5 linked regions of the Callithrix jacchus genome follow. The main gene of each other region encodes a partner of the protein of the gene in region 5 in a complex. Links are inferred from orthologs where the notes say so. Each region holds a gene or a part of one and is shown on either strand. Other genes may lie near its edges.

What was found.
Region 1: the proteins of CDK4 (region 5) and CDKN1B are in contact, whole or in part, in a crystal structure (PDB 6P8F), measured with the Homo sapiens proteins. The link is inferred for Callithrix jacchus from reciprocal best matches to the Homo sapiens genes CDK4 and CDKN1B. Residues at the interface, in NP_000066.1 of Homo sapiens: Gly18, Thr19, Val20, Tyr21, Lys22, Ala23, Arg24, Asp25, Pro26, His27, Ser28, His30, Val32, Leu34, Ser36, Met75, Asp76, Cys78, Ala79, Thr80, Ser81, Lys88, Thr90, Val92; in NP_004055.1 of Homo sapiens: Glu53, Ser56, Lys59, Trp60, Phe62, Phe64, Gln65, His67, Lys68, Pro69, Lys73, Tyr74, Glu75, Trp76, Gln77, Glu78, Val79.
Region 2: the proteins of CDK4 (region 5) and CCND3 are in contact, whole or in part, in a crystal structure (PDB 7SJ3), measured with the Homo sapiens proteins. The link is inferred for Callithrix jacchus from reciprocal best matches to the Homo sapiens genes CDK4 and CCND3. Residues at the interface, in NP_000066.1 of Homo sapiens: Gly46, Gly47, Gly48, Leu49, Ile51, Thr53, Val54, Arg55, Val57, Ala58, Leu59, Arg61, Arg62, Glu64, Ala65, Phe66, Val77, Ala79, Val89, Asp129, His132, Ala133, Asn134, Cys135, Arg163, Ile164, Tyr165, Ser166, Tyr167, Gln168; in NP_001751.1 of Homo sapiens: His11, Pro13, Arg14, Ala15, Gly16, Pro17, Asp18, Arg20, Leu21, Arg26, Val27, Ser30, Leu31, Arg33, Leu34, Arg37, Tyr38, Glu74, Lys112, Leu113, Arg114, Glu115, Thr116, Pro118, Ile121, Glu122, Pro134, Arg138, Glu141, Val142.
Region 3: the proteins of CDK4 (region 5) and CDKN1A are in contact, whole or in part, in a crystal structure (PDB 6P8H), measured with the Homo sapiens proteins. The link is inferred for Callithrix jacchus from reciprocal best matches to the Homo sapiens genes CDK4 and CDKN1A. Residues at the interface, in NP_000066.1 of Homo sapiens: Gly18, Thr19, Val20, Tyr21, Lys22, Ala23, Asp25, Val32, Leu34, Ser36, Met75, Asp76, Cys78, Ala79, Thr80, Lys88, Thr90, Val92; in NP_000380.1 of Homo sapiens: Met38, Cys41, Ile42, Ala45, Arg48, Trp49, Phe51, Phe53, Val54, Glu56, Asp62, Phe63, Ala64, Trp65, Glu66, Arg67.
Region 4: the proteins of CDK4 (region 5) and CCND1 are in contact, whole or in part, in a crystal structure (PDB 2W96), measured with the Homo sapiens proteins. The link is inferred for Callithrix jacchus from reciprocal best matches to the Homo sapiens genes CDK4 and CCND1. Residues at the interface, in NP_000066.1 of Homo sapiens: Gly45, Gly48, Leu49, Ile51, Thr53, Val54, Arg55, Val57, Ala58, Leu59, Arg61, Arg62, Ala65, Phe66, Asp76, Val77, Cys78, Ala79, Arg82, Ile87, Val89, Asp129, His132, Ala133, Asn134, Cys135, Ser285, Phe287, Arg288; in NP_444284.1 of Homo sapiens: Leu6, Cys7, Cys8, Glu9, Val10, Thr12, Ile13, Ala30, Lys33, Ala34, Thr37, Phe108, Lys112, Met113, Glu115, Pro118, Leu119, Thr120, Ala121, Leu138, Gln139, Glu141, Leu142, Val145, Asn146, Lys149, Trp150, Asn151, Leu152, Ala153.

What each region holds. Positions count from the first base shown.
Region 1 is NC_133510.1:10,588,908-10,594,277, forward strand, and holds the start of CDKN1B (cyclin-dependent kinase inhibitor 1B), read right to left. Parts: upstream 3,156-5,370; 5' UTR 2,680-3,155; coding exon 2,205-2,679; intron 1,692-2,204; coding exon 1,570-1,691; 3' UTR 1,562-1,569; intron 1-1,561. UniProt on the Homo sapiens protein: Important regulator of cell cycle progression. Inhibits the kinase activity of CDK2 bound to cyclin A, but has little inhibitory activity on CDK2 bound to SPDYA. Involved in G1 arrest. Potent inhibitor of cyclin E- and cyclin A-CDK2 complexes.
Region 2 is NC_133505.1:50,441,709-50,447,097, forward strand, and holds the start of CCND3 (G1/S-specific cyclin-D3), read right to left. Parts: upstream 3,528-5,389; 5' UTR 3,368-3,527; coding exon 3,171-3,367; coding exon of another isoform or gene 3,170-3,170; exon of another isoform or gene 2,894-3,169; coding exon 2,683-2,893; exon of another isoform or gene 2,435-2,682; intron 2,302-2,434; coding exon 2,086-2,301; intron 1-2,085. UniProt on the Homo sapiens protein: Regulatory component of the cyclin D3-CDK4 (DC) complex that phosphorylates and inhibits members of the retinoblastoma (RB) protein family including RB1 and regulates the cell-cycle during G(1)/S transition.
Region 3 is NC_133505.1:44,980,256-44,985,569, forward strand, and holds the start of CDKN1A (cyclin-dependent kinase inhibitor 1), read left to right. Parts: upstream 1-1,920; 5' UTR 1,921-2,035; intron 2,036-2,175; exon of another isoform or gene 2,176-3,841; intron 3,842-5,314. UniProt on the Homo sapiens protein: Plays an important role in controlling cell cycle progression and DNA damage-induced G2 arrest. Involved in p53/TP53 mediated inhibition of cellular proliferation in response to DNA damage.
Region 4 is NC_133511.1:126,558,225-126,563,594, reverse strand, and holds the start of CCND1 (G1/S-specific cyclin-D1), read right to left. Parts: upstream 3,251-5,370; 5' UTR 3,168-3,250; coding exon 2,946-3,167; intron 2,254-2,945; coding exon 2,038-2,253; intron 1,548-2,037; coding exon 1,388-1,547; intron 1-1,387. UniProt on the Homo sapiens protein: Regulatory component of the cyclin D1-CDK4 (DC) complex that phosphorylates and inhibits members of the retinoblastoma (RB) protein family including RB1 and regulates the cell-cycle during G(1)/S transition.
Region 5 is NC_133510.1:61,952,640-61,957,980, forward strand, and holds the start of CDK4 (cyclin-dependent kinase 4), read left to right. Parts: upstream 1-2,084; 5' UTR 2,085-2,208; intron 2,209-2,615; 5' UTR 2,616-2,634; coding exon 2,635-2,849; intron 2,850-3,005; coding exon 3,006-3,141; intron 3,142-3,258; coding exon 3,259-3,426; intron 3,427-3,583; coding exon 3,584-3,693; intron 3,694-4,859; coding exon 4,860-4,910; intron 4,911-5,046; coding exon 5,047-5,182; intron 5,183-5,341.

The sequences.
Region 1 (5,370 bases), about 51 Mb from region 5:
ATTAAAAAAATTTTTTTCTCTACTGTGACATATTAAATTTTCTAAATTTGAAAAATGATTAGGAATAAAAATTACAAAGGTCTTCCAGAAGAAAATTTTATTAACATCATTTTCAAAATATTTTTTTATTCATACACAGAATTTATTCATGAATCCTTCTGAGTAAGTTCTTACTAATATTTCTAGTATTCTTTGAACTGGCAATATTACTAACAAATGCCTCTCTGCGTGTCAGAATGGGGCCAGATCAAAATCCAGGTTTGATTCTCATGGCTCATCTGATGAGCTAGGTTACAAGTCACAAACCAACAGGAGTTGCGAGTGTCAAGGCTGCTTCGGGAAAATTTTCACCTAATTTTCTCACTTCATATGGTACTATGAAACAGGCTCTATAGTACCGTTCTGTATAAGCTCTGAAAAATACAAGGTATAGTGAAGTCGAATACACAATTTAAAGACACAACAAACCTGAATCCCACCTTAATCCCTGTTAAAATTTTTATAAATGAGGATTTAATAAGTTAACAATATTTATCAAGATCGCCTCATATGCTAAGCTATGTATGTGCTTTAAAAAAGAAAGAGGTCACAATCTTGGTCTATAAGACACTAAAAAACTTAATATGTATGTTAATTCGATAATTATGACTAGCTAATCCATGTACATTTGGGGGCTGAATTATTCAAATTAGCTATTAACGGTGATCAGATTGAGTACGGAAAAATCTCCACTTCCTTTGTGCTGGGTTGACCCACGGTCACCAGTCTTGATATTTACTACCCATTTCCCCTACAAATATCAAATCACCCTATTACAGCACAATTAGCATACACTGGCTGACCTGTTCACGGATTGCTTACTGACAGAGTTAATCTAACTTCTGCTTTGCAACTTGAGTGTTCCCAGAAATTGAGAAACTTTAGTAATTTTTTTATCTTTCCATTTTGCTTTTTGTAAATACTGATTCCTTCTCTCTACAAACTCTCTAGAACAGGGAAAGTGACCGTTTATGAAAATGTCAAAGACAGAACACAACATAACAACACCCTATTCACATCTCCAATCCCTTGCATCACCAAAGGTGAGCAATTTCTACCACATATTCCCCTCAAAATTTAAACTTAATTATGTATTTGCCATTTTTCCATGTATGGCTCAAAAATGTTACAGACTCAAACTGAACCTCTGGGAAATTAACTCTCATGAAGTGGGACTGAGGGAGTACCCCAATTCTTGTTCAGATGGGGAAAGAACTTATTGTTATATGTCTCAGTAGGACTCACAGAAAAATGCCCTTCCTACCCGACGGGGCCTTGGTTACAGTAGCTGCTCTGGTCTACTATTTCAAGAGAAAGTATCTTCGGGCAAAGAAACTTTGAAGAATTACAGTATCCCCACAGTGATTCCCAGCCTTCCCAATCGCTACTTTTTTGACCTCACGAAGTATAAACAAAACAAAACCCCACAGGCTTTTAATCTGCCAGCAAACAGTAAGATCAGGTGTCGTGGGTTCTGAAGGCCCTGGGTTTCAGTGCGTGCTCCTTTGCTGATCAAACCCACCGAACTGTTTACGTCTGACGTCTTCTGAGGCCAGGCTTCTTGGGCGTCTGCTCCACAGAACCGGCATTCGGGGAACCGTCTGAAACATTTTCTTCTGTTCTGTTGGCTCTTTTGTTTTGAGTAGAAGAATCTAAGAGTGGGGGAAATTTTTAAAAAGAACACACAATCTTTGTTAGAAAAAACAATGGATGCAGAAGTTGGCCCGATATTTAGGGGATGAAAAACCCACCACCTCCACCCACAATCCTGTATCCGTCATCCCAAATGGCCTTTAAGGGCACAAAATGAGGTTGTTTTCAAAAAACAGAAAGTGCATTCTCCGCCCCAGAGCGCTCTCGCTAGCCAGGAGGCGGACCATTGATAAACATCCCAACTTTGTCACATACCTAAGGCTGGCTAGTGGGAGGGACTGCGACGTCCTAAATTAGGGAAATTATCGGATCTTACCATCTCCAGTTTCTGACTTAAAAGTTACAAACAGACAAGCAGTGGGTCAGGTAGCACTGGAAACCTAAGACCAAAAAAGTTAGCCCTTCCAAAATTAAATCAGAATACGCCGGAAAACAAGCTGAGATTAACACCCTCCAGCAGGCAAAGCGGGCCCCCAGACACAAACAATCTACGGTTGGGAAGGGGCCATTACCGTCAGCTGCAGGTCGCTTCCTTATTCCTGCGCACTGCTCCGCTAACCCCGTCTGGCTGTCGGACGGATCAGTCTTTGGGTCTACCAAGTGCGTGTCCTCAGAGTTAGCCGGAGCCCCAATTAAAGGCGCCGCCGGGCGGCTCCCGCTGACATCCTGGCTCTCCTGAGCCGGCACCTTGCAGGCGCCTTTGGGGGGGCGCGGGGGTCTGTAGTAGAACTCGGGCAAGCTGCCCTTCTCCACCTCTTGCCACTCGTACTTGCCCTCCAGGGGCTTGTGATTCTGAAAATCGAAATTCCACTTGAGCTGGCTCGCCTCTTCCATGTCTCTGCAGTGCTTCTCCAAGTCCCGGGTTAACTCTTCGTGGTCCACCGGGCCGAAGAGGTTCCTGCAGGCCGAGGGCTTGGGGTGCTCCGCCTGCCTGGCGTCCATCCGCTCCAGGCTGGGGCTCCCGTTAGACATTCGCACGTTTGACATCTTCCCCCCGGGTCTGTACGGCCGCCTCTCTCGCACTCTCAAAAACACGAAACAAAACAAAACGCCCCTACGCAGCCCGAACCACACTCGGGAGCCCAGCGACTGCCCTCGGAGCCAAAAGACACGGACCCGGACGAGCCACGGCCCGAGCTACAGGAGCGCGCAGGGTCTGCGGGATGGGGCTGCGGAGAAGCCCCTGCCCAGCCGCCGAGTCTCCGCTGATCAAGTGGACTGGCGAGTGGGAGGGCGGGGAGGGGCGGGGAGGGGACCAGGCAAGCGGAGGGGGTGGCAAAGCCCGTCCGAGTCCGGGCGGTGCAAGCCCGCGGGTCCCGCGAACCCAGCCGCTCTCCAAACCTTGCCGGCGTCGGAGTCGCGGAGCCGTGAGCAAGCGGGGACAGGGGAGGGGGCGAAAAACACCCCGAAAAGACGAGCCCCCTTTTTTAGTGGCCCAATATGGCGGTGGAAGGGAGGCTGACGAAGAAGAAAATGATTGACACGGCTAGTCTATTTAAACAGAGGAGGAGATCCATTGGTTGCGGCGCCGGGAGCCGCCCCGCCGAGGCTGGCTAGCGCAGGCTTAAGGTGGCCCCGGCGCCGTTCCGCCTCCTCCCCGCGTTCCCGAGCGCGCCGCCTCCCCGAGCGCCGCCGGGACATTGGCTGGTCGCGTGACTGCTGGAGGTGTACTGCTGCCAACAAACCTGCTCTGGCTGGCCTCGGAGAAATTAAAATTAAGACAAACAAACTAGCCAAACGGCCGGGAAGCTGGGGCGGGGCCTGGGGTTCGGGGCCCGGCGCGGCGCCTAAGTCCCGACCTCCCGCTCCTTGCCCGGGAAGCCGGGGGCCTAGACCAGAGGACCTCGAAGGTCACCAGCAGCTCGCTTAGAGCCGAAGTGGCGAGCTGCCCCCAGCTCAACCTTCCCCAGTGGCCCCCACCTCGCGGCCTGTGGGGGAGGCCGTGGAGCGTTTGCTGGAGGGGCTGGGCACCGCCCCGGCCGGTTTGCCTTAGCTGGGGGTGGGTGGTAGTTCGCTCAGCCTTAATCCAGAAGTTTCTGCCATCCCTGGGGAGGTAGCAGGCCTAGGGAAGAAGCCAAGGCGAAGGTCTTTCTTTTAGAAATTAGCCAGGAGTAGACGCGGCACTTACCATAAACTCAAGCTCTCTCTCCATGAAAATTAAGAAAGGAACTCAAGATTTAAAAAAAAAAAAAACTCGAGTAGTCTCTCAAGTCCATTAATAAACGCTGTAGCTGTCCCAGACACATTCAGTTTTGAAAACCGAGGTTACACCCCTGGCCCAGGCTCTTGCTTCCCAAGCAGAGTTAAGGCCATGGACGTCGGCTGCGTGTGGGAACTGTCTCTCTCTACTTTTCAGTTCTTTCCCGGGATTGTAGCAGTTTCCTCTACCTGGGTCCAGCCGCCAAATACAACAGCTCCTTCCTTCCTCCACCCTTCTCTCTCACCAGATTTCACTGCTCCAACAAACTCAGAACAATATTCAGATGCTAGTGAATGCTTTCAGAGGGCTGAAGGGTGAAAATACTCCCCTCGGGGCCAAACTCCAGATGATGAAATGATTCTTAAAGCCACCAAACCATGTCCTAATGTCCGATATTCCAGCGTTTCTCTGCTCCCTTTTGCAGCTGGAAATTTCTCTCATTGTGGGCTTGAGCACCGTGGTGGAAGGTAAAGTAGGACGACGAGCAGGGCTGCCCTGAGACAAAGCTCAGTGGATCTTCAGCTGCTCTCCCCACCCCCATGCCCCGTACCCATCATCTCGGTTTGGGCCAAAGTTAATACATTTTGCTGGAAACCAACCTTCCGTTCTAGTATCACACGGCAGCCTAATTTTCTTATGCACCTATGCTACAGATGAACTTCATGTGTGGCTCGTTTTCTTAGCCACATCTTGTTTGTCCACTTTGTGTGCCTACCTCATCTCATACACTCCAGAATGTGACAGCTGGAAGGGACCTTCGGGACCCTGTGGTTTAACCCTCTCGTTTTTACCACGGAGGAAACTGAGACTCAGAGAGGTTTCCTGTCCAGGGACATGCATTCGGTTGGTAACGGATACAGGACTAGCTGCAGGTCTCCTACCACTCGGGTTGGTTCATTTTCTGTGCCTTTCCTTCCTGATGGTCCTCACTGGTTCAGGGTTTCGTCTGGGTTTGATTGTGCTGTAGTCTGCAGGTCCTGCTGTCTTACAAGTGACTCAAAATGGCTCCTTCCCAGGCCCTGGGTTGCCTGCAGATGTTTCCTTGATGCGACCTGTGGTCGCTGATATTTAAATGCAGCTGTCACAGTCCTTTGGTATCACCATCCACTAATTCAACTAAAATACAGACTCTAGAAAAACAGGGGTGATACCCAGAGAGCAGTAAAGGAGGCGTGCCTAAACTTAGTTTTAAAGTCAGGACTTCTACCTAAGTGACAGAAAAGAATTCACCTAGGATCAAGCAGGAGGTTTCATCCTCTTTATTTTTTCCACTTTCAATGCTCTCAATTTATTGAAGACTGGGAGAGAAGGGACAGGAAGATTAGGGTAGGCCTCACTGCCGTAATTTATACCTTACTCCCCAAATTAGATAGCTATCCTAATTTTAAAACAATTGCTAGACAATACAGGAACCCTCTATTATATATGTGCATTTATCCATATGCATAAACACCCAAACTCCCACATATATGTAAATG
Region 2 (5,389 bases), on a different chromosome or scaffold from region 5:
TTGTATCTCAGGAAGGAACTTGTGGGTTTGACTCCTTATTGAGGCAGAAATGGCAACCCCACCCAAACTCTTCCAGGCTCCAGCCACAGCTGTCTCTCTTGGCCCCAGCCTAGGTGTCTGCCTCTCAAATCAGCCCCTACCCTCGCAGAGCCCCAGAGAAAACAGCCTGGGCTGGAGCCATAAGTGAGGCAGAGAAATTACAACTGTACCCCTGGTGCATGTCCCAAGAGCCAACTCCTCACTCAGCAGTAAACAGAGGGACCTAGATTCTAAGGAAGCATCTGGGAGGCAACTGGGGGTGGGATCCTCCCTATGGGGAAGCAAGGGGTCCTCTGTGAGGGAAGGTGTCTACCCTTCCCCATATTCAGGCAACTAGAGAATCCCAGTGTTAACTGGTAAAGAACACACCCCTGGGAGTGCTTATCTTCAGTTTGTGACATCCCTGACTTTTAAGGTAACCTCGTCTAGCTAGAAGACCCAGATTCTACACTCATCTTCTCAGAGTGATGCTAAGGCAGGACTCTTCCCTCCTTCCTTGGGCCTCGGCCTTCTCTGCTGCACAGGGATTCAGACCAACTGGAGTTCTCAGAGGCCTCTTCCAACCCTGACCTTCTAGGAAGTCTTCTGGACATTCTACCCCCAGCTCAGGCAGAGGGAAGAGTACTTTTTGCCTGTACTGAAAAACCCTCATACATGGGCACACACACCACCTCCATCTTTTCACAAAGAGGAAGTCCCCCTTCTACCTTCCGGCCCCAACCCCTCCAAAAACATCTTGCTCTTTGGTCCTGGAAACTAACTCTACTTCAGACTTGCCAAAATTTACCAGATTCATCACAAAGAGCTGTGGAGCCTCCTGGATTCCCAACGCTGGCCTCCTACTCCCATCTCTGAGCTACTTGGCAGGAAGAGGAATCCTGTTCCTCAACTCACAGCAGTCAGGGGCCCCAGTACCCTGGCTTCCCTGCCAGCCAATCACAGCAGCCTGCTTGCTGCCCTCCTCCCTGGGAGATGGGGCCCAGAGACTCCTCTCAGGGTCAGCAGAAGACTTGGCCGGCCACAGAGCAAGGTGGAGGAAGGTGCCAGCTCACCCACCCTCTCCCCTAGCGCCCCCCAGGAGACAATCTGCATGTCCTAAATAACCTCTTCCAGATCCAGCAGCTCCCTCGCCTCCTCCCCAGGCTCCTTCTGAGGCGGGATAGAACCGGTGACTTTCTGGCCCTGCCTGAGCCCAGCCCAAGTTTCCAGCAAGAGGCCCAGGGAGCCACTTCCCAAACCACAGGAGTGACAGCAGCTCCCCACAGTGTTATGAAAGACCTTGGTCAGAGAGGGCGGGCCGGGGGAGGGGGCACCATTATCACATCGGAAGCAGCTGCAGCCCACCTCCCGGTCTGTCCCTCAGCTTGAGCCTTTGGCTAAGGGGGAAAGAGAGAGCTGTTTCCACCAGGCCCAAAGCAGCTGCTCCAGTTCCTCAGAATGAAGACAGGGAAGGATTAGGGAGAAGCTGCCTCTTCCGGGATATCGGGATATAAGGGGAAGCAAAGAAGGTGGGATGAAATACATCAGCCCTTCCTTAAAGCAATCAGGGCCTGGCTTTAATCTGCTCTGGGAGGCTTTTCTATCACAAAGTCCACATGAGGATAAAGACTCAACCAAAGCAAACCCCCTCCCCCACATGAAGCACATTCCACTCCCCTACTCCAGTGGGGGTGTGCAGACATGCCCTTCTGCTGCCAATAAATAACTCATGGTGGCTCTGTAAACCCAGAGGCAAAGTACTAGTGAGTGTAGACATGCAGTCTGACTTGTTGCTATCTGGGGGAAAGACCAGGAAGGAGTGGCATCCCCTGGAGGTCAGGAGGAGGGGGTTTAATACCTGCCTGCAGCTCAAACCTGGGCAGGAGTGATACTAACCATCACACCACACTGCCCCATCGTTTCTTCCACCCTAATTCCTTTCCCAAAGGTCTCTGATCACCTTGCTCCCTCTCCAGGGGACAGAAAGCCTCTGAGGTCTTAAGCTTTCCTTTTCCTAGAAAGTAGGGAGACAGTACGTGTCAGGGGTGGGGGGGATTACACACGCACCCGCATCTGGCGGGGAGAGAGAGCGTGGTCGCTGTAGATGCACAGTTTTTCGATGGTCAGGGGCGTGGTCTCGCGCAGCTTGGAGGCCAGCAGCATGCAGACCGCACCCAGGAGCTGCAACTGAGCCTTTCGGGTGGGGACGCAGGACAGGTAACGATCCAGGTAGTTCATGGCCAGGGGAAAGACTTCCTCCTCACAGCGCTGCTCCTCACACACCTGAGAGAGGGCGCACAGTCACTGCTGGGGCCAGAGCGTGGGGAACACCGCGGCGGGGCAGCGGAGGGTGGGGGCGGTCGGTGAAGTGAAGCGGGATAGGGAGCAAAAACGGGAGAGAGGGTAAGCTACTTACAGAGACAAGGACCAATAACGGAGGAGGATGCGCCCTCCCCGAGGTGACGCCGCCCCACTTCCTCTGAGCGGCCTCCTCCCCTCTTCCCTTGGTGGGGTGGAGGTGGTAAAGCCGAGGAGCCCTTCCTCATGGAGGATTCCAAACGGAGACTCCCCTCCCCCACAGTGAGGGGAAGTGGGACGCAAGGGTCACCCATGGTAGCCAGAGAGCTGGGCCCTCACCCCCATCACCGCCACCACTGCACACACCCGAGGGGAAGGGAGGAGGCTCCTGCCGCTGCCTCCCGCACTTTTCATTTCCCTGTCGGCCGGAACAGGGCGCGCGCCACCCCCACCGCCTTCCCCGCCAGAACCCCGCGACAGACACAGGAACCGGCTCCCGGGCGGGGGCGGCCGAGCCCAGGGTTTTCCAGGCGCGCTCTCCGGAGAAGGCCAGGAGGGGGAGGGAAAAGGGAGAAGCCGAAGGGGAGAGGGTATCCCTTGTCCCGTTTTCCCGGTCCGAAGAGAGGCTCAGTTAGGGTGCCAAGTGACTGGCAGTCACAGTCGGGAGAAGCCGATTAGGGCTCGGGAAGGCAAGGGAGGCAGCCGGAGAGGGTGCCTTAGTGAAAGGCCAGGCCCCGGGAGTCTTAGCCCCGGAGCATCCTGCAGATTGCTGTGGTGACCGGGATGTCCCGGCAGGGCGGCCCCGGTGTGTCCAGAGCCGGGAGCAGTGGGGTGAGGGGCGTCCGGGCGGTACCTCCAGCATCCAGTAAGCCAGCATCTTCCGCATGTGCGGCTTGATCTCCCGCTGCACGCACTGGAAGTAGGAGGTGCGGGGCACGTAGCGCTCCTCCAGGCGGAGCAGGCTTTGCAGGACACGCTGGTCCCCCAGCAGCTGCGGGTCCGGCCCGGCCCGGGGCGCCTGCCGGGTGCCTTCGCAACACAGCAGCTCCATACTCGGGCAGCGCACAGGCAGGGCAGAAGTGCGGGCTCGCGATTCCCAAGGCAGGCGGCCGTCCAGAGAGCGCGGGGTGCACGTCTGGCGCTGGCGCTGGCGCTGGCACTATGTGGCGGATCCCCAACCCGCCCGCCGCCCGCGCGCGCGCCGCTTCCCTGACAGGCGCCCCGCCCCTCGCAACGATATAGCAACCTTGGAATGCTTGGACGTCGCAACGCTCTGAGGGGCGGGGCTGCGACGCCCCGGACGGAAAGGGCTGGCTGGGCGCTCTCCCCTCCCTCTTGCGGCCCCATTGGCCCGCGGGGCGCAAGCCGGCCAGCTTCCGGGCACTCCAGGCCCTGGACCACCGGGTGCAGAGAACTTTCTAGGAGGTGGGCCTCCTCCCACCCACGGACCCTCCCATTTTGCTTCTCGGACTCTAGTCACCCAGGAAAGAATTTTTCTCCAAAGGTCATTCATTCACTTATTCATTGGTCAAACCCTACTTCACCAGCTGCTTGCTCTAAGGAATGCGATAAATAATGTCAGACCTAGTTAGTGAACGCTGCTCCAAAGCTTCACGATGTAATGACTCACTACGTCTTCACGAAAACTCCGAAACTGAGGCAACTGTCGCGATCATTCAGTTGGTCCATGGCAGAGTTGGGATTGGGAAGCTGGCCTTCTTTCTCCAGATTCTGTACTCTACACCATTGTTAAACTGTGATACCACACTTGTCCCGTGTGTGGGCATCGCCTGGGAGCTGGTTAGAAATGCAGATTCTCAGGCCCACAGCTAACCTGAATCAGAATCTGCATTTTAACTAGATGTCTGTGCACTTTAAAGTATGAGTGCTTTAGTCTAAATCAGCATATCACAGAATGGAAAGGCGATTGAGTCGTGGCCTCACCTTGTTAAGTTGGTTGCCTGGCTTTGGACAAGCCCCCTAAGTTGGCCTTAGTATCTGTTTGGGGAAACTGGATGGAGAAACTCGATTCTCACTGAATCAGTTTCTTACACAGACTCTATGAGATCTACAGGTTACATTGCTTCCACCTCCCAAACTTTTGGTTACTTTGTAGTTTTACCAGAAGCTGTATTTGACCAAGAGGCAGATAACAGACCTCCAATAATGCTCCAAATGGGAGAAGGCCGTGAGGATCCCTGCCCTTACTGGGGTCCTCCCACCCTAGGAGACACTAAGGAAGTGTCTCCTGCCTTACTAAGGAAGTGAGTAACTAGAGAAATTACACTATGTAGAAGATGTAAGTTCTATGCCAACCATTTTCTCAGTTAATTATTCTTTTTGCTTGTTTTTAAGACGAAGTCTCACTCTGTTGCCCAAGCTGGACTGTAGTGGTGCGACCTCAGCTCACGGCAACCTCCACCTTCCAGGTTCAAGCGATTCTCCTGCTGCAGCCTCCCAAGTAGCTGGGACTACAGGCATAAGCCACCATGCCCGACTAATTTTTGTATTTTTAGTAGAGACGGGTTTCACTACGTTGGCCAGGCTGGTCTCAAACTCCTGACCTTGTGACCACCTGCCTCCAAAAGTACTGAGATTACAGGCTTGAGCCCCTGAGCCTAGCTGAATTATTCTTTCTTCTATAATAAATTGTATTGTACTTTTCGTATCATAAAATATTATTTTGCATTTTAGAAAACTTCAAAAATACAAATAAGCCACAGAAAAAGAAAATAATCATTTGCAATTTGCCATCCAGAAATAACCGTTTAATATATCAATCTTTATTTTTCTAATATTTGTTCTACGAATAAACACACATTTTAAATGGGATCATCACAAACTGTTTTGTAAGCTTTTTTCATTAAAAAAAATACCATTAACACTTTTCCAAGCCATTAAATATTCTAGGACATAATTTGTAATGGGTACATAGTATACCATTAGGTGAATATACAAAAGGTATTTTGGCAAACATTGAAATTTAAATTATTTCTAGTTCTTCCCCATTAGAAAAAATACTGTAAAATATTTTTGTGGTAATAACTTTGTGCACACTCATGATTATTTCTAG
Region 3 (5,314 bases), on a different chromosome or scaffold from region 5:
GCTGGACATTGGTAAACCACTCTTTGGATGGTTTGGATGTATAGAGGGGAAGGTGGAGATAGCAGTGGGTCTGAGAGTGGGGTCCTGAGGCCATGCTGTGGACTTTCTGGGGTTTAACCACAATTCTGGCCTGACTCCAGGGCCAGGCAGGCCCAGGGGATCTGCTCCTGTGTCCTCCCACCCCTACCTGGGCTCCCACCTTCACAGTGGAGGAGACAGAAGCCTCTCCTTCCTGAGGTCAGCTATGTTAGAAGAAGAGAATGTGCACTGGACACATTTTTCCCACAAAGTGGGCCTCAAGTTTTCCCCTCAAAGTGGGCCTCACATTTTTCCCTCAAAGTGAGCCTCTTTTAGTTGGAGAATGACTTGGCACTCCCCAGGAGGGCACGGCATTGTTAGAATGAACCCTCTTTCTGGCCCACCACCACCACTGACTCACTATGGCAGGCAAGCATTTACTCAATGTAGCTGAAAAGATCAGGAGGATGACATTAATAAATAAAAATCCATATATAATAAAAAATGATGTGCAAAGAATTATTTCATTGTGAAGCCCAATACTACAAAACTTTATAATTCATTACAAACCTTTATTAAAAAAAAAAAAAAAAAAAAGGCTTGGGGCATGCCTGGGCAGAGATTTCCAGACTGAGCAGCCTGAGATGTCAGTAATTGCAGCTGCTCCAAGCCTGGCTCCTATTTTTTAGTGGGATTTATTTTCAGATTAACAATCCATCCTCTGCAATTTTTCAAAGCAAAACTGCACATGTTTCAGGCACATAAAGGAGGCAAAGATGAAGTCCAAGGGAGGTCAGAGGTATGGGGTAGACGGGAGCAGATAGACACGTTACTCATTTCTGTGTCTGGCAGAAGCACCAGTAGACACTTCCAGAATTATCCTTTATTTATGTCATTTCCATAAACTGTCTGCAAATGAGGGTTATTGGGTATTTTTGTCATTCTGGAGCCACAGAAATAAAGGGTGACAAGCACAGAGCCTTGGGCAGGAGGCAAAAGTCCTGTGTTCCCACCATAGTCATTTCTTTGCTGCATAATCTGAGTCAGGTCACTAAACTCTTCTGAGCCTCAGTTTCCCCAGCAGTGTATATGGGCCCTGTGGGGAGTATTTAGGAGACAGACAACTCACTCATCAAATCCTCTGCTTCCTAGCCAACAAAGCTGCAATCACAGAGTTCTTCTGTTGAGGTGAGTGTACGGTGTACGGAGATTGGTTCAATGTCCAATTCCTCCTCGGTTTTCTGATAGTGTCTCCAATTCCCTCCTTCCCGGAAGCATGTGACAATCAACATCTTTGTATACTTAAGTTCAGTGGACCTTCAGTTGCCTCATCTGTGAAATAAAGGGGACTGAAAAATCATTCTGGCCTCAAGATGTTTTGTTGGGGTGTCTAGGTGCCTCAGGTGTGTCTGGGAGAGGTGACCTAATGAGGGATCAATGGGAATAGAGGTGGTATCGTGGGGCTTTTCTGGAAATTGCAGAGAGGCGCATCGTTTTTATTATTTATGGATTTTTATTTACGACTGTCATCCTCCTGATCTTTTCAGCTGCATTGGGTAAATCCTTGCCTGCCATAGTGGGTCAGCGGTGGGCCAGAAAGGGGGCTCATTCGAACAGCGCCCTCCTGGGGAGTGCCAAGTCATTCTCCAACTAAAAAAGGCCAAATTTGAGGCTCACTTTGTGGGAAAAATGTGTCCAGTGTACCGACGCACGTTAGAGACAACGGGAGGAGGGAAGCGCCCTCCTGCAGCACGCGAGGTTCCGGGACCGTCTGGGGCTGCTGGAACTCTGCCAGGCTCAGCTGGCTCGGCGCTGGGCAGCCAGGGCCCCGGGCCTGGGGGAGGGCCGTCCAGGGGCGGCGCGGTAGGACGAGCGCGGGTCCCGCCCCTCCTGGGGGTAGGTTATATTTGCGCCCGCAGAGCGGCACCAGTTGAGGTGTGAGCAGCTGCGGGAGTCAGTTCCTTGTGGGGTCAGAGCTGAGCGCGGATTCGCCGAGGCACCGAGGCACTCAGAGGAGGTGAGGGAGCGGCGGCAGCCAACAGGGGACCCCAGGCCGCCGGCCCAGAGCCGAGCCGAGCGAGCCTGCCTGTGTCCGTGGGTGTCGCGGGGATGCGTGTCCGCGGGTGTGCGCTGCGTTCACAGGTGTTTCTGAGGCAGGTGAATGACGGGCGTGGGTCTGTGCCTGCTCGGCTTCCGCATACGGTGTCTGTAAAGTGCTCGGGTGACGGGGATCGGGATGTGCCGGAGACTCCGGGCGGAGAGCGGGATTACAAGTACAGGGATCCCGGGCCACGCTCCCCGCCCCTAGAAACCCAGCTGGGGCGAGGGAGGGCGTAGACGGGGCCGCTCTGGGAGCTCGCCTTCCGCAGCGGTGGGCTCCAAGCCCCAGGTGCAGTTTGCTCCTGGCGTGGGAATGAAGTCCGTGTCCCTGGAGGGGTCCAGGAGGGGCGAGGAAAGCGGAGTGGAGTAAGTTCGTCTGGGATCGGTCCCGGGCGGTTTTCGGAACCAAGCGGCGCCGCCCTGGCTCACGTCCCGGGGTTCAGGTCCTCTACGCCACTGTGTCCACCACCTGGCTGGGCGCTGAGGTAAGTGCGAGCAGTTTCCTGGCCCTTGGGAATGTGCCAGGACACGTCCCCTAAGGACAAGCGAGGAGCTGACTCATTGTGACAAGGAGACCCCAGGGAACGGACTGTATAAGGTCAGAACTTCGCCCGGGCTGGGGTACAGTGGGAACCCAGAAGCCCCCTCCCTGTCCCTTCAGGTCTCGCCCTCCCATCAGCACAGTGACCAATTTGGCTGGCACAGCGTGTTCCCAGGGAAGCCGGGCACTGGAGGTCCAGGTCGCCGCGTCTGATCCCCGCTCCGCGGCGCGCCCTAGGGGCCGGGGAGTCAACGCCCTGCGCTGGGCGGGCTCTAACCAGCCTGTCAGTCGAGGAAGGGCAGGGGTCTTCTCTACCTCTTTACCACCGCGGCCGGGAGAACCACGGCCCAGCTTGTCCTCGAGTCGGGGCGCTGGACTCCCGGGCAAGAGCGGAGCCTACGCCTGAGTGGGAGGTGGGGAGAGATCCTGTCTTTGCGGCGTTGGTGGCGTTTCTGGGGGGCACGACACTGCTCAGGGCCTCCATCAGCTGCCGCGGGGGCTCGGGGTGCCCCGACCTAGCCCAGATTCCCTCTCCGAAAGCGACAAGACTGAGCGGAGCAGCGGGGTGAGCGCCGCCGCCGGGCGCGGACCACGGCACGTCCTCTCAGTCCGGAATCCCCGGGGGACACTTGCGCCCTCTTAGTGCAGAAAAACATCTAGGGGATGGGTTTGGAACTTGGGGCGCCTAGACAGCTTCCCGTCTCCTTCCCTCGCTCCACGTCGTGTTTTTGGGAGAACTTCCGAGAGATTTTGTTTTCGTTGCTCCCGTCTATTTTTATTTTCCAGGGATCTGACTCATCCCGTGCTTTGGGCGTGGAGATAAGGTGGAGGGGCCAGCTCTCGGCGCGCGCGCGCGTGTGTGTGTGTGTGTGTGCGCGCCCGCGCGCCCGTGTGTCTGTGTCAGAGACGGCGCAGGAGCGCGCGGTTTCGCAACAGCGGCGGGAGTTTTGGAAGCCTGGCCTGCCCAGCGTGACGTGTTCGCGGCCCTCCGGTCCCCTCCCATTCTCCCTCTCCCCACCCCAGTGTGACGCGCAGCCGGAGTGGAAGCGGAGTTTTGGCGGGGGCGGGCAGCGCCTTGCGGGAAACTGACTCATCGCTACTCCCCCGCTGTCCAATGCTCTGCCCACGTACCTCCCACCCCGCGCGTGATTTCCTGGAGGCCGGCGCCCCCTCCCGGCCCTGGTGAGAATGGCACACCCGCTTTCCCGCGGAGTGGGGCTGGCAGGCGGGAACCACCGCGGGTACTCCGGGCTCATCTGAGATCAACCCCTATGCCATTCACCGCTCCTTCAAAGGAACACTCCTTAGGTTCAACAGTATTTATTGAGCTCTTACTGGAAATTAAAGTATGACTGAAGTCTAAGGCAGGAAGGCCAACAAAGGAGGCTATTCTCAGTTATTTGTAGAACAAGGGTTTGCGTTTCTGAGTTTTCTTTGGGCTGAAAGTTATGACAATGCGCCTGAGAGCAGATTTAGATGGGGGAGGAGAGGCCTATGAGAGCCCTAAGGGAAGGGGTGGTAGAAGAGGAAAGGGTGCCTGCCTAGATCCTAGTCTTATCCTGAGCTCCTGAGAGCCAGGGAATATCCTTGATGGAGCCCTTCCTTGTGCCTCTGATGTATTGAGACCCAGAATGTCCATTTCAAACACACCAGTGTCCCCCTTGTCTGATACCCCAAGAGTGCCCATCTGAGGAACTGTGCTGAACACTTGCTTAAATCTTCAAACACCTACTTAAATCTTCAATCTGGATTAAGTTGGTCTCAAGAGGCAGGGCCTTGAAAAAGCTCCCTAAGTGATTTTTTTTTTTTTTTGAGACAGGGTCTCACTCTGTTACCCAGGCTGGAGTGCAATGGCACCATCCTAGACTCAAGCAATCTTCCTGTTTCAGCCTTTCAAGAAGCTGGGACCATAGTCGTGAGCCCCCATGCCCAGCTAATTTTTTTTTTTTTTTTTTGAGACAGAATCTCACTCTGTCACCCAGGCTGGAGTGCAGTGGCGTGATCTCAGCTCATTGCAACCTCCACCTCTTGGGTTCAAGCAATTCTCCTGCCTCAGCCTCCTGAGTAGCTGGAACTACAGGTGTGCACCACCACGCCCAGCTAGTTTTTATAATTTTAGGAGAGATAGGGTTTTTGCCGTGTTGGCCAGGCTGGTCTTGAACTCCTGACTTCAAGTGATCTGCCTGCCGCAGCGTCCCAAAGTTCTGCGATTGTAGACGTGAGCCACTGCGCCCAGCCCACCAGCTAATTTTTATTTTTAGTAGAGATAGGGTCTCTCTGTGTTGCTCAGGCTGGTCTTGAACCCCTGGGCTCAAATGATTCCCCCACCTTAGCCTCCCAGAGTATTAGATTACAGGTGTGAGCCACTGCCCCTGGCCTCCCCAACTGATTCTGATGGGACTCTCTGGTTAAGAAACCTCAAAATTAGAGAGGGAGTAGGTTCAATACTAGAGCACAGGACTCAGGGCAAACAGGCCTGTGTTCAGATCCTGACTCTGCCATTTATGAACTGTGTGACACTGGACAAGTTGCTTAACTTCTCTGAGCCTTTGTTACCTCTGCTGTAAAAAGGGAGCAAATAGCTATTCACTTTTTAGAGGATTGACATTTTTAAACTGCTTAGAACAGCCCCCATACATGAAAATATACAAATGA
Region 4 (5,370 bases), on a different chromosome or scaffold from region 5:
GTGTCCCTCTTCCTTTACCCACCGCCGGGGGCGCCTTCACAGACAAAGCGTGTGCAGTAGCGGGGAGGGCGAGACTGCACCTGCCCCCTGCCTCCCGCCAACACCCAGGGATCCTGGGAGGGGAGCTCAGCCGCTGGAGCCACCCTGCAGGGAAGCTGTGCAAGGACGGCACCCACCACGTCTCCAGAAAAGTGCATTTCTCTGAAGCCACTTACAGCTCCATAAAAGGCTGCGTGGAGTCTCTGGAGGCCTCTCTCCTCTGAGGAGCCCCAGCCAGAGAACGCCTCCCTGTCTGCTTCAGGACCACCCCCACCCCTCAGACCCATCCAGGCTGGACGGCATTCTTGGCATCTTCATCTGACCACTTTGGGGACTTGCTTGGAAACATGGGGGAGGGTTTCCTGCCCCAAGCAGGTGGAGGAGGTGGGGGAGCTCTCACGCCGAAACCAGAAACCATTCTGGAATAATACACTAACTGCTGGCTACCTGTGTCAGAGGGTGCGCTGAAATAGGTTTGGGGGGGCTCTGCCCTCAAGGGATTGGGGGAGAAGATGCTATTGTGTCTTTGATGTCCCGGACCTTGTGGCCTGTCACCCAGAGTGAGCCCACAAACAGATGTGACAACTGAGGCTTGACCAAAAGGGGGCAGGGCCCCCCCATCAGGGTAACCAGGGAAGGAGGCGCACAGGGGGGTCAGAGGCAGGGCTGGGGACAGCAGGAGGCAGCACCCTGTGTATGCATGTGTCTATCCCAGTTGGGTCCTGGGGCCAGGGCCATGCCAGCGGAGGTGAGGACTGGGTACTTCTGCTGCCCACGGTGGCGGCCTAAGCTGAGACTGCTCTGAAGTGCTCCCCAGGGCTCAGCTGAGCCCAGCAGACTGGCGGCACCCCTGGCAGGGCCTCAGGCAGCTGAGCTCCTCTGCTGGACACCCCTGCACTCAGCTGCCCAGAACACGTGGTGCAGGCGGGCCGACAGCTCTCCCCGCCCCCGGAGGCGCCTCTGGCAAGTCGCCCAGCCTGGGAGAGGCCAGGAGGGGGCCCCCGCAGCTCAGGCTCCTTAAGGACACAAGAAGGGCTGGAGGTCGGTGGGGAAAGGAGGCGGCCCTGCGGCCAAGGTAAACCCCTTTCGGCCTGGAGGATGAGGCCACAGCATCTAGACACAGGCAGGCTGGCTGCGTGGTGGCGCGGCCGTAAGGGCAAATCCCCTTCCATCCAGCGCAAACAAGCCAGCACCTCTGCTCACCAGAGCTGGAAGAACTCTTCCCAGCGCAGGCGGGGGCCTAGGGACGTCCTCCGGGACAGCACCCAGGTGCAGAGCAAGAAGCTGGCCAGGCCACCTAAGGTGCTGGCTTTCAAGGGGAGGCTGGGGGCGGCTGGGCCTGCCCTACCTGTAGCGCAGAGGGCAACGAAGGTCTGCGCGTGTTTGCGGATGATCTGTTTGTTCTCCTCCGCCTCTGGCATTTTGGAGAGGAAGTGTTCGATGAAATCGTGCGGGGTCATGGCGGCCAGGTTCCACTTGAGCTTGTTCACCAGGAGCAGCTCCATTTGCTGCGAACACAGGGTGAGCGGCTATCAGGGGAGGTGCGGGCCGGCCTGGGGACGCGGGGAAGCCGGCAGTATGGCCCTAGCCCCTGAGTCTCGTGTGGTCCTGGGGGTGCGGGAGCAGGACTGGCGAATGCTGGGGGGTCCAGGAAGCTGGGGCAACACACGATCCCAGATCAAAACAGAAAAGGCGCCCGCCGCGTGAAAAGATTCTGCAAGTGGAAACAAAAAGACTTCCCACCACCTGGAACGGAAGGCTCAGCGTGGAGCGCGGCGTTCCCGGTGCAGCCGCTGGAGGGCGCGCGCCGCCCATTTTTCGGCCACACCGCAGAGCGCTAACGAGGTGGGAGTCGCAGGCAAGCGCGCACGGGGCGGCTAGGATCCCACCCGCTCCCAGGACGAGGACACCCGGCAAAGGGGCCGCCTGCCGCCCCTGCACCTTCCCCGGCCCGGTGGTCCTGCGGCTCGCGGGGGGCGGCGGGGGTCCCGCGGTTACCAGCAGCTCCTCGGGCTGGATGGAGTTGTCGGTGTAGATGCACAGCTTCTCGGCCGTCAGGGGGATGGTCTCCTTCATCTTAGAGGCCACGAACATGCAGGTGGCCCCCAGCAGCTGCAGGCGGCTCTTTTTCACTGGCTCCAGCGACAGGAAGCGGTCCAGGTAGTTCATGGCCAGCGGGAAGACCTCCTCCTCGCACTTCTGCTCCTCGCAGACCTGCGGGGGCACGGGGCCCGTGACCGCCGCCGCCAGGTCGCGCCACCCCCACCCCACTCCCCCGCCCTCGCATGCCCATCGCGCTCGGCAGGACCACCAGTTCTGGAGGGCGCCGAGGGGTCGGGGCCGGGGGCGGCAGAAGCTTCCTGTGATGCGCCCCCTCTCGCGCGCGTCCCGAGTATCCACCCTCCCTGAAACTGAAAGGGAAAGTCCCCGCGAGGCTGGCATGGTGGGGGCGGGAGCGGGCACAGCTGGGCGGCGGCGCGGGCTGCAGGCCCCGGGGACCCCAGCCCGCCCTGGAGCTCCGTGGCCCCTCTGGCTGTGGGTCGACACCCACTGGGGTGCGGGGCCGCGCAAAAGGCCGCGGGGTTGGGCGCCGCGCCTGCGAGACACAAAGGTGGCGTCCCAGGCCGCCGCGCCGCATTTCCCCAGACGTCATCTTTTCAAAAAATATTTAAAAATATTTAAAAAATAACTAAGTGCGTAAAAATACCCTGAAAATGACCCTCGGACGGCCCTTTACCCAGGCCGGGGGTCGGGAGTTTGTTACAGGGTCCGGGGGAAGCCCCAGGAATTCAAACTCCGGGGACCCCCTTCCCCCTGGGCGCGGGCGGTGTTTCCCTCTCGCAAGGGCACCACGCCGCACTTTCAAAAATTATTTAAAAATACTTGCGGGCCCCTCAGGCGCCTACCGAAGGTGTGAAAATGTTCTCCCAGGCCCCCGGCTCGCTCGGAGAAGGTCCCCCAAGCCGAGATCCCTGCAGACGGGGATCCAGCCCTGGCGTCTTGGGGGCCACGCGACCTTGCAGCTCGGCGTGCTCTCCGGCCCAGGCTGCCCGTGCGGGGCGCTTTGGGACTCGCTGCTTGAACAAAGGCCCCCCTTTCCCCAGCGGGGTCCCCCCAAAACTACCCATGCTGCGTCCCCGCGCCCCTCCCGCGGGCTCCGGGCAGCCGCCGGGCCCCTAGTTGCGGCCCCAGCGCCCGGCGGCCGCTCCCCGCCCCCACCCTGCCCCCAATTATTAATAAACACTTTTGCTGTGCAATAAAAGAGCAAAGATGGCGCATAATACTGGCACGAGAAGCCCTTGCATACGTGTCCATGGATAGTAATTTAAAAATCAAATCTATGCCCCCTCCCCCCGGAGTTGGAGGCTCTCGGCCGCGGCGGCCGGGAGAGGAGCCGCAGCATGGCTGGGGCGCAGGCGGGGGGCACAAAGCGCACCTAACCTGCCAGCCCGCACCCTCGGGCCCATTGGGGTGCTCCTGGCACTGGCTTCTCCTGGAGGCACCCCTCCCCGACCCCCTCCTCCCGTCCCAGGAAACGCAACTCCTAGCACCCCCACCCCCACCCCTTCCTTCTTCAGAAAATACCCACAATTTTTATTTTGAAAATACCTAGCAACACCCCGGCAAACTTCAAAGGTCTAGCGGGAGAGAAGAGAGGGGAGTGAGAAGCAAAGAAACGTGGGTATGGGCAACAAGTTGCAGGGAGGTCTTAAGAGAGCCGCCCGAAGCCCCGCACCTCCAGCATCCAGGTGGCCACGATCTTCCGCATGGACGGCAGGACCTCCTTCTGCACACATTTGAAGTAGGACACGGAGGGTGCGCAGGTCTCCTCCGCCTTCAGCATGGCCCGCAGCACCCGGTCGTTGAGGAGGTTGGCATCGGGGTAGGCGCGGCGGATGGCCTCCACTTCGCAGCACAGGAGCTGGTGTTCCATGGCTGGGGCTCTGCCTGGGCAGCTGGGGAGGGCTGTGGGTTCCGGCTGCGTCCGCGCTCGGCTCTCGCTCCTGCTGCCCCGCGCTCCCTCGCGCTCTTCTGCCCCTCGCCGGAGCGCGCGGACTCTGCTGCTCGCGGCTACTGCGCCGACAGCCCTCTGGAGGCTCCAGGACTTTGCAACTTCAACAAAACTCCCCTGTAGTCCGTGTGACGTTACTGTTGTTAAGCAGAGATCAAAGCCGGGCAGAGAATGGGAGCGGGAGGGGGCGGGGGCGGGCGCAGGGGGAGGGGGCGCGGGCGCCAAACGCCGGGAGCAGCGAGGGGCAGAGCCCAAAAGCCATCCCCGAGGCGCCGCGCCTGCCCTGCGGCGGAGTTGCCCCCGTAGTCCGGTTTTCATAGAAATGCAAATCGCCCCGCTGCAGCCTTTCTCCCCGCCAGAAAAGAGGGGTACAGGGGGCCCGGTCCGACTCGAACGGGTCCCCCGGGATTTGGGGGTGGGGTGGAGGTGGCTCTGCAGTAGGGGACAACTGGGAAGCCCCACAGGCCACACGCAGCCTAGGGAGACCACGAGGAGGGGGGACTCCGGGGCGCGGCGACACCCCATATCCAAGCCGGCAGAATCGGCGCATTTCCAAGAACGCCACGAGGGCACCCACGAGCGGACAGACGGCCAAAGAATCTCAGTTTCTGCATCTCCTTTCATTTTCATTAACACGTGTAAATTTCAAGAACTATTTAGCATGCAGGGACGGAGGACAGGGCACACCACCCAGTGCACTTTTCATTTCGGCTCACATGGGGGTTGTTGTAAATGCCCAAGGGGGTAACCCTAAACATTTAAGGGATTTCAGCTTAGCACGCGTTCGCTCAAAAAATAAAATAAAATAAATGCCCGAAAATTCCAGCCGCAGCCCAAGATGGTGGCCAGCATTTCCTTCATCTTGTCCTTCTAGCCTGGAGACTCTTCGGGCTGTCTTCCTACCTTGACCAGTCCATCCTCGCGGGGGTCCCCAGATGCACCCCCTCCCTTCCGGTGCCGGCAATTTAACCGGGCCAAACACATCTCTGAAAGGACAGCCGAGGAACAGTGATCTCCGTCCTGACTCGTTTTTTAATTAAAAAAGGAATTAAATTGCTGGAAATATTAGTCGCCTCTGCCTGGGACAAGACCGCCGGAAGGTTCCTAATTGGTTTTGTTGGGGGTGTAGACGTCCTTTCACCTTTATAATTTGCCCCGGGTCTGCACTGGCGAGCGTGAGGGGGCTGGCAAGGGCGGGCAAAATAAAGGACACTTATCAATTAAACAAATGAGTGTACTGATCTGATTTTTAACAAAATCGATAGGCGTTCGTGGTTATATGAGAGGGTCCCCAATATTATCGCAAAGTTAAGCAAGTG
Region 5 (5,341 bases):
AGAGAGAGAAAGCTGGGATGGGCTTATGCGGAAGGTGAGGCTGAAGTGGGGAATGCTGATGTGGGCAGGGAGTTTGAGAAACTCACAGACACTTATCTTAGCTTTCCAGAAGGCTTACAAAGCACCCACCCCAGCAAGGGAGCCAATAAAACATTCACCTCTTGAGCCCCTTAGTCAGTTCAGTCCTTGAGGTTTTTTTTTTACTAGTGTTCCAGTTGCCCTTACCAGGAGGGACCCAGGGCTACAAGTATCAGGATGGAAAGAGGAGGCATCTGTATTAACATGTATCCTGTTTTGCTCTAAATAATAGTTTATATTCATCTTCTAGTTTGAACTCTTATATTCTCAGCCAGATGGTTCAGGAAAACAGAAGTTAGGGTGGAAGGAGTGGCAAATAAGGTAATAAACCAGCTTTAGATTTTAGACAAATTCAGCTGGGCACAGTGTCTCACGACTGTAATCCCAGCATTTTGGGAGGCTGAGGCAGGCAGATAACTTGAGGTTGGGAGTTTGAGACCAGCCTGACCAACATGGAGAAACCCTGTCTCTACTAAAAATACAAAATTAGCTGGGATCACAGGCGTGGTGGCACATCACACTATTGCACTCCACCCCTGGCAACAAAGCGAAACTCCGTCTCAAAAAATACATATATATTTTGTCTAAAATATACATTTATATATATTTTTAGACAAAAAATATATATTTATATATATTTTAGACAAATTGTCAATTCTCACAAATGAGACACTAACCACTTTCCTCCTTTACTCCCATACCCCTAAAGGGCTGGGAGATAAAGAACCTGGAGCCAATAAAACAAAAAAGGTAGGAGAAATCTACCTCTGTCAACCTAGGTGTCTGTGGGCAGAGGCCATTTGGGAAAAATGGTGCTAAGTGCTGGTTCTGGATGGTGCTAAGTGCTAAGAAAGCTGCACTAGGGAAAAAGGGAAGCACAGTGACTCCAAATGAACAGTCACAAGCTTGCAGAAAAGCACGTCATTCCCATTTACTGTGGTTGTCTGGAGGGTGCAGGGGGTGTGGTGGTAACTTCTTGCACATGCGCCTGTCTACGACATGTAATAAGTAATATAACATACATACATATATATATACCTAGAAGTATATATATACACACATATATCTTAATCTCACATAATCATAGAATCTTCCTACTGAAAAAACAAAAACAAAAAACATAAAGGTCAAGTATTCCTGTCTCCTGCTCATCAATAACTTCTCTGCCAGATGGCCTCAAGTCTTTGCATTAACACTTCCAGGAAGGTTTGGAAGTTGGGAACTAGAGGGCATTACTTTGCCACTGTTCCTGTTGTCTTACTGTATTAATCTGCCTTCTGTCCATCCCCTAATTGAAGTTTTGCCCTCCAGTGGGCATTGTCTACTACCTATTTTATAAGACCCCATTGTTGGCTACATCTTTATAGATAGTCGTACCACTACTTTAAAGAGCCAGTGACAGACACCAAAAACAAAACAAAATAAAAACCCACATACACACTGGCAACAAGCACTCAGTACAATTTTGTAGAATGAATGAGTGAAACAATGGCACAAATGAGAGTATGTTTTCTCACGGTGAAGCAAAAAGGTGATAGTACCACCTCTGGTCCCCCAACTCCCACCCTCTCCCCAATGTAGTCAGGCTGAAAGACCAGTGAAACAATCTTTCAGCCCGGAGTTGGGCTCTGGGTGGCCTGGGTTGCCATGGCACCGCCTTGGGCTCCACCCTCTCTTGCCCCCTACCGCGCCCCCCCACCCGCAGCGGGGTTGTGGCAGCTAGTCACGTGCCCTTCGCGTAACCACACCTCTGCTCCTCCGAGCAATGTCAAGCGGTCACGTGTGATAGCAACAGATCACATGGCTGTATCTCCCCTCCGCCCCTCTTACGCTCTTAGCTCTCCTCCCCGTCAAAGCGGCTCCTGGCCGCCCCCACAGCGCTTGGCTGGCGGTCACGTGCCCAGAACGTCCGGCGTTCGCCCCGCCCTCCCAGTTTCCGCGCGCCTCTTTGGCATCTGGTCACATGGTGAGGGTGGGGGTGAGGGGGCCTCTCTAGCCTGCGGCCTGTGTCTATGGTCGGGCCCTCTGCGTCCAGCTGCCCGGGACAGAGCCCGGGTGTATGGGGCCGCAGGAACCGGCTCCGGGGCCCCGATAACGGGCCGCCCCCGCAGCACCCCGGCCTGGCGTGAGGTAAGTGCAGCCCCATCCCAGCTTTCCACGCGTGCGTTTCGAGAGCTGGTTATGAAAGGGTCGTTCAAGGGCGGGAAATGGGGCCTTTGTGGTCGTGGGAAGGTATAATTTTAGGGACTGAGGTGTAAGATCTTCGATGCAAGGCGTGTGTCATGTGTGATCTTTGTACGGGGCGCGATTGTCCCAAAAGAAAAGGCATTTTTTATTGTAGGGCCTCACGTGGCTGCAGGGGTTGGTATTGAGTCATTGTGTTATCTCCGGGGCCGGCCCAAGGAAGATTGGGAGCGGGGGATGGGATGCTGGTGTTGTTCTTTGTGCTTTTTCTTGGGAGTCCCTTTGTTGCTGCAGGCTCATACCATCCTAACTCTGTAAGGGACTTTTAGTGATAGGAGTCTTTGTGATTGTAGGGTCTCCCTTGATCTGAGAATGGCTACCTCTCGATATGAGCCAGTGGCTGAAATTGGTGTCGGTGCCTATGGGACAGTGTACAAGGCCCGTGATCCCCACAGTGGCCACTTTGTGGCCCTCAAGAGTGTGAGAGTCCCCAATGGAGGAGCTGGAGGAGGCCTTCCCGTCAGCACAGTTCGTGAAGTGGCCTTACTGAGGCGACTGGAGGCTTTTGAGCATCCCAACGTTGTCCGGTGAGAAGGCGGTGGAGGGTTGGGAGTGGGCAGTAAAGGGAAAAGACAGTCTATAGGTGGGGTGTGGTGATCTGGTGAGAAGTGGGGACCCAGAGGAAATAATGAGAGGTCATGTGGGTTAAAGGGGATTGACAAGTGAGCATTTACTCTGGCCAGGCTGATGGATGTCTGTGCCACATCGCGAACTGACCGAGAGATCAAGGTAACCCTGGTGTTTGAGCATGTAGACCAAGATCTAAGGACATATCTGGACAAGGCACCCCCACCAGGCTTGCCTGCAGAGACCATCAAGGTGAGTGGGGTTGGTAGGCATTGAGAGGTGAATTGGGACCTTTGTAGTAGAACCTCCTGGGATTTCAGGGATGGTGCCTAGTTTCCAGTGCATCTGTTCCTCCCCCTTCTGAACTAGGATCTGATGCGCCAGTTTCTAAGAGGCCTAGATTTTCTTCATGCCAATTGCATCGTTCACCGAGATCTGAAGCCAGAGAACATTCTGGTGACAAGTGGTGGAACAGTCAAGCTGGCTGACTTTGGCCTGGCCAGAATCTACAGCTACCAGATGGCACTTACACCTGTGGTCAGTAGAAAGATGGTACCAATATGGGTTCTGGTTGGGAGTAGGAGAGTGGTGGCCCATAACAATTGAGAAGTCATGTGCTTCATGTGTTCAGTTAAGTCAGTTGTATTTCATGGTAACGCATGGGATCCCCATCCATTTTTCCTATCCCCTTTAGGTGGTTACACTCTGGTACCGAGCTCCCGAAGTTCTTCTGCAGTCCACATATGCAACACCTGTGGACATGTGGAGTGTTGGCTGTATCTTTGCTGAGATGTTTCGTCGAAAGTATGGGACCCACATACCCTGGACCACCTTGAATTCCCCAAATCTCTTGTTCATAAACCACATCCAAACCTCCCTTCCATTCTTCTTCTTTTTTTTTTTTTTTTTTGTTGGAGACAGGGTCTTCTCTGTTGTCCAGGCTAGATTGCAATGACATGATCACAGTTCACTGAAGCTTCAACCTCCTGGGCTCAAGTGATCCTCCCATCTCAGCCTCCCGAGTAGCTCACACTATAGGCGCACACCTCCATGCCTGGCTATTTTTTAATATTTTTGTAGAGATGGGGTCTCAGTATATTGCCCAGGCTGGTCTTGAACTCTTACACTCAAGCAGTCCTCCCAACTCTACCTCTCAAAGTGCTGGAATTACAAGCATGACCTACTGCACCTGGCCCCATTCGTTTACTTGAGTTCTACTGACTACCTTGGCCATAACGGGAAGCACTAAAATGTTCTGGAATTGGGAACTTCATATCCCTTTATTCTCCTTTATTTATTTATTTATTTGAGACAAGGTCTCACTCTATCACCCAGGCTGGAGTGCAGTGGCACAATTACAGCTCACTGTACCCTCTACCTCTTGGGCTCAAGCAGTCCTCCTGTCTCAGCCTCCTGAGTAGCTGGGACTACTACAGGCGCACGCCACCATGAATGGCTTTTTTTTTTTTTTTTCAAGACAGAGTGTGGCTCTGTTGCTAGGCTGGAGTGCAGTGGTGCGATCTTGGCTCACGGCAACCTCTACCTCCCGGGTTCAAGCAATTCTTCTGCCTCAGCCTCCCGAGGAGCTGGGACTACAGGTGTACACCACCGTGCCAAGCTAATTTTTATATTTTTAGTAGAGACGGGGTTTCACCATGTAGGCCAGGATGGTCTCCATCTCTTGGCCTCATGATCTGCCCACCTCTGCCTCCCAAAGTGCTGGGATTACAGGCGTGAGCCACCGCACCTGACATTTTTTTTTTTTTTTTTTTTTAAGAGACAAGGTCTTGCTTGTCCAGGCTTATCTAGAACTCCTGGGCTCAAAGAGTTGTCTCACCTTAGCATCCCAAAGTGCTGGAATTACTGGTCTTTATTTGCTATACTTTTTATTTTGGGCTACTAAGTAGTAACAGCCATTCGACTATGATACTTTAAAAATGACAGCTACCTTATGTCTCTTCTTACCTTAGGCCTCTCTTCTGTGGAAACTCTGAAGCTGACCAGTTGGGCAAAATCTTTGAGTAAGTGACCAATATGGGAGAAAAATATTTTACATTCTGAGTCCTCTTTCTGCTGAGCCCAGGATGGCAACTGGCTCTCTCCATGGGGATGGGAACTGGAGGACCCTCCTGACCACAGCTCTCCTGTCCCCCACAGCCTGATTGGGCTGCCTCCAGAGGATGACTGGCCTCGAGATGTATCTCTGCCCCGTGGAGCCTTTCACCCCAGAGGGCCCCGCCCAGTGCAGTCGGTGGTACCTGAGATGGAGGAGTTGGGAGCACATCTGCTGTTGGTATTGGAGATGGCTGTGGGCACAGGGAGGGACTGGGGGAAGAAGCAGAGCAGTACACAGGGCCCTGGCCACTGTGGTTAATGAAACTTGGTTGGTAGATGGGCTGTAGTTTTTATTGCAGCTGCAAATAGCCACCCACAGAGAGGGATCTAAAAGAGA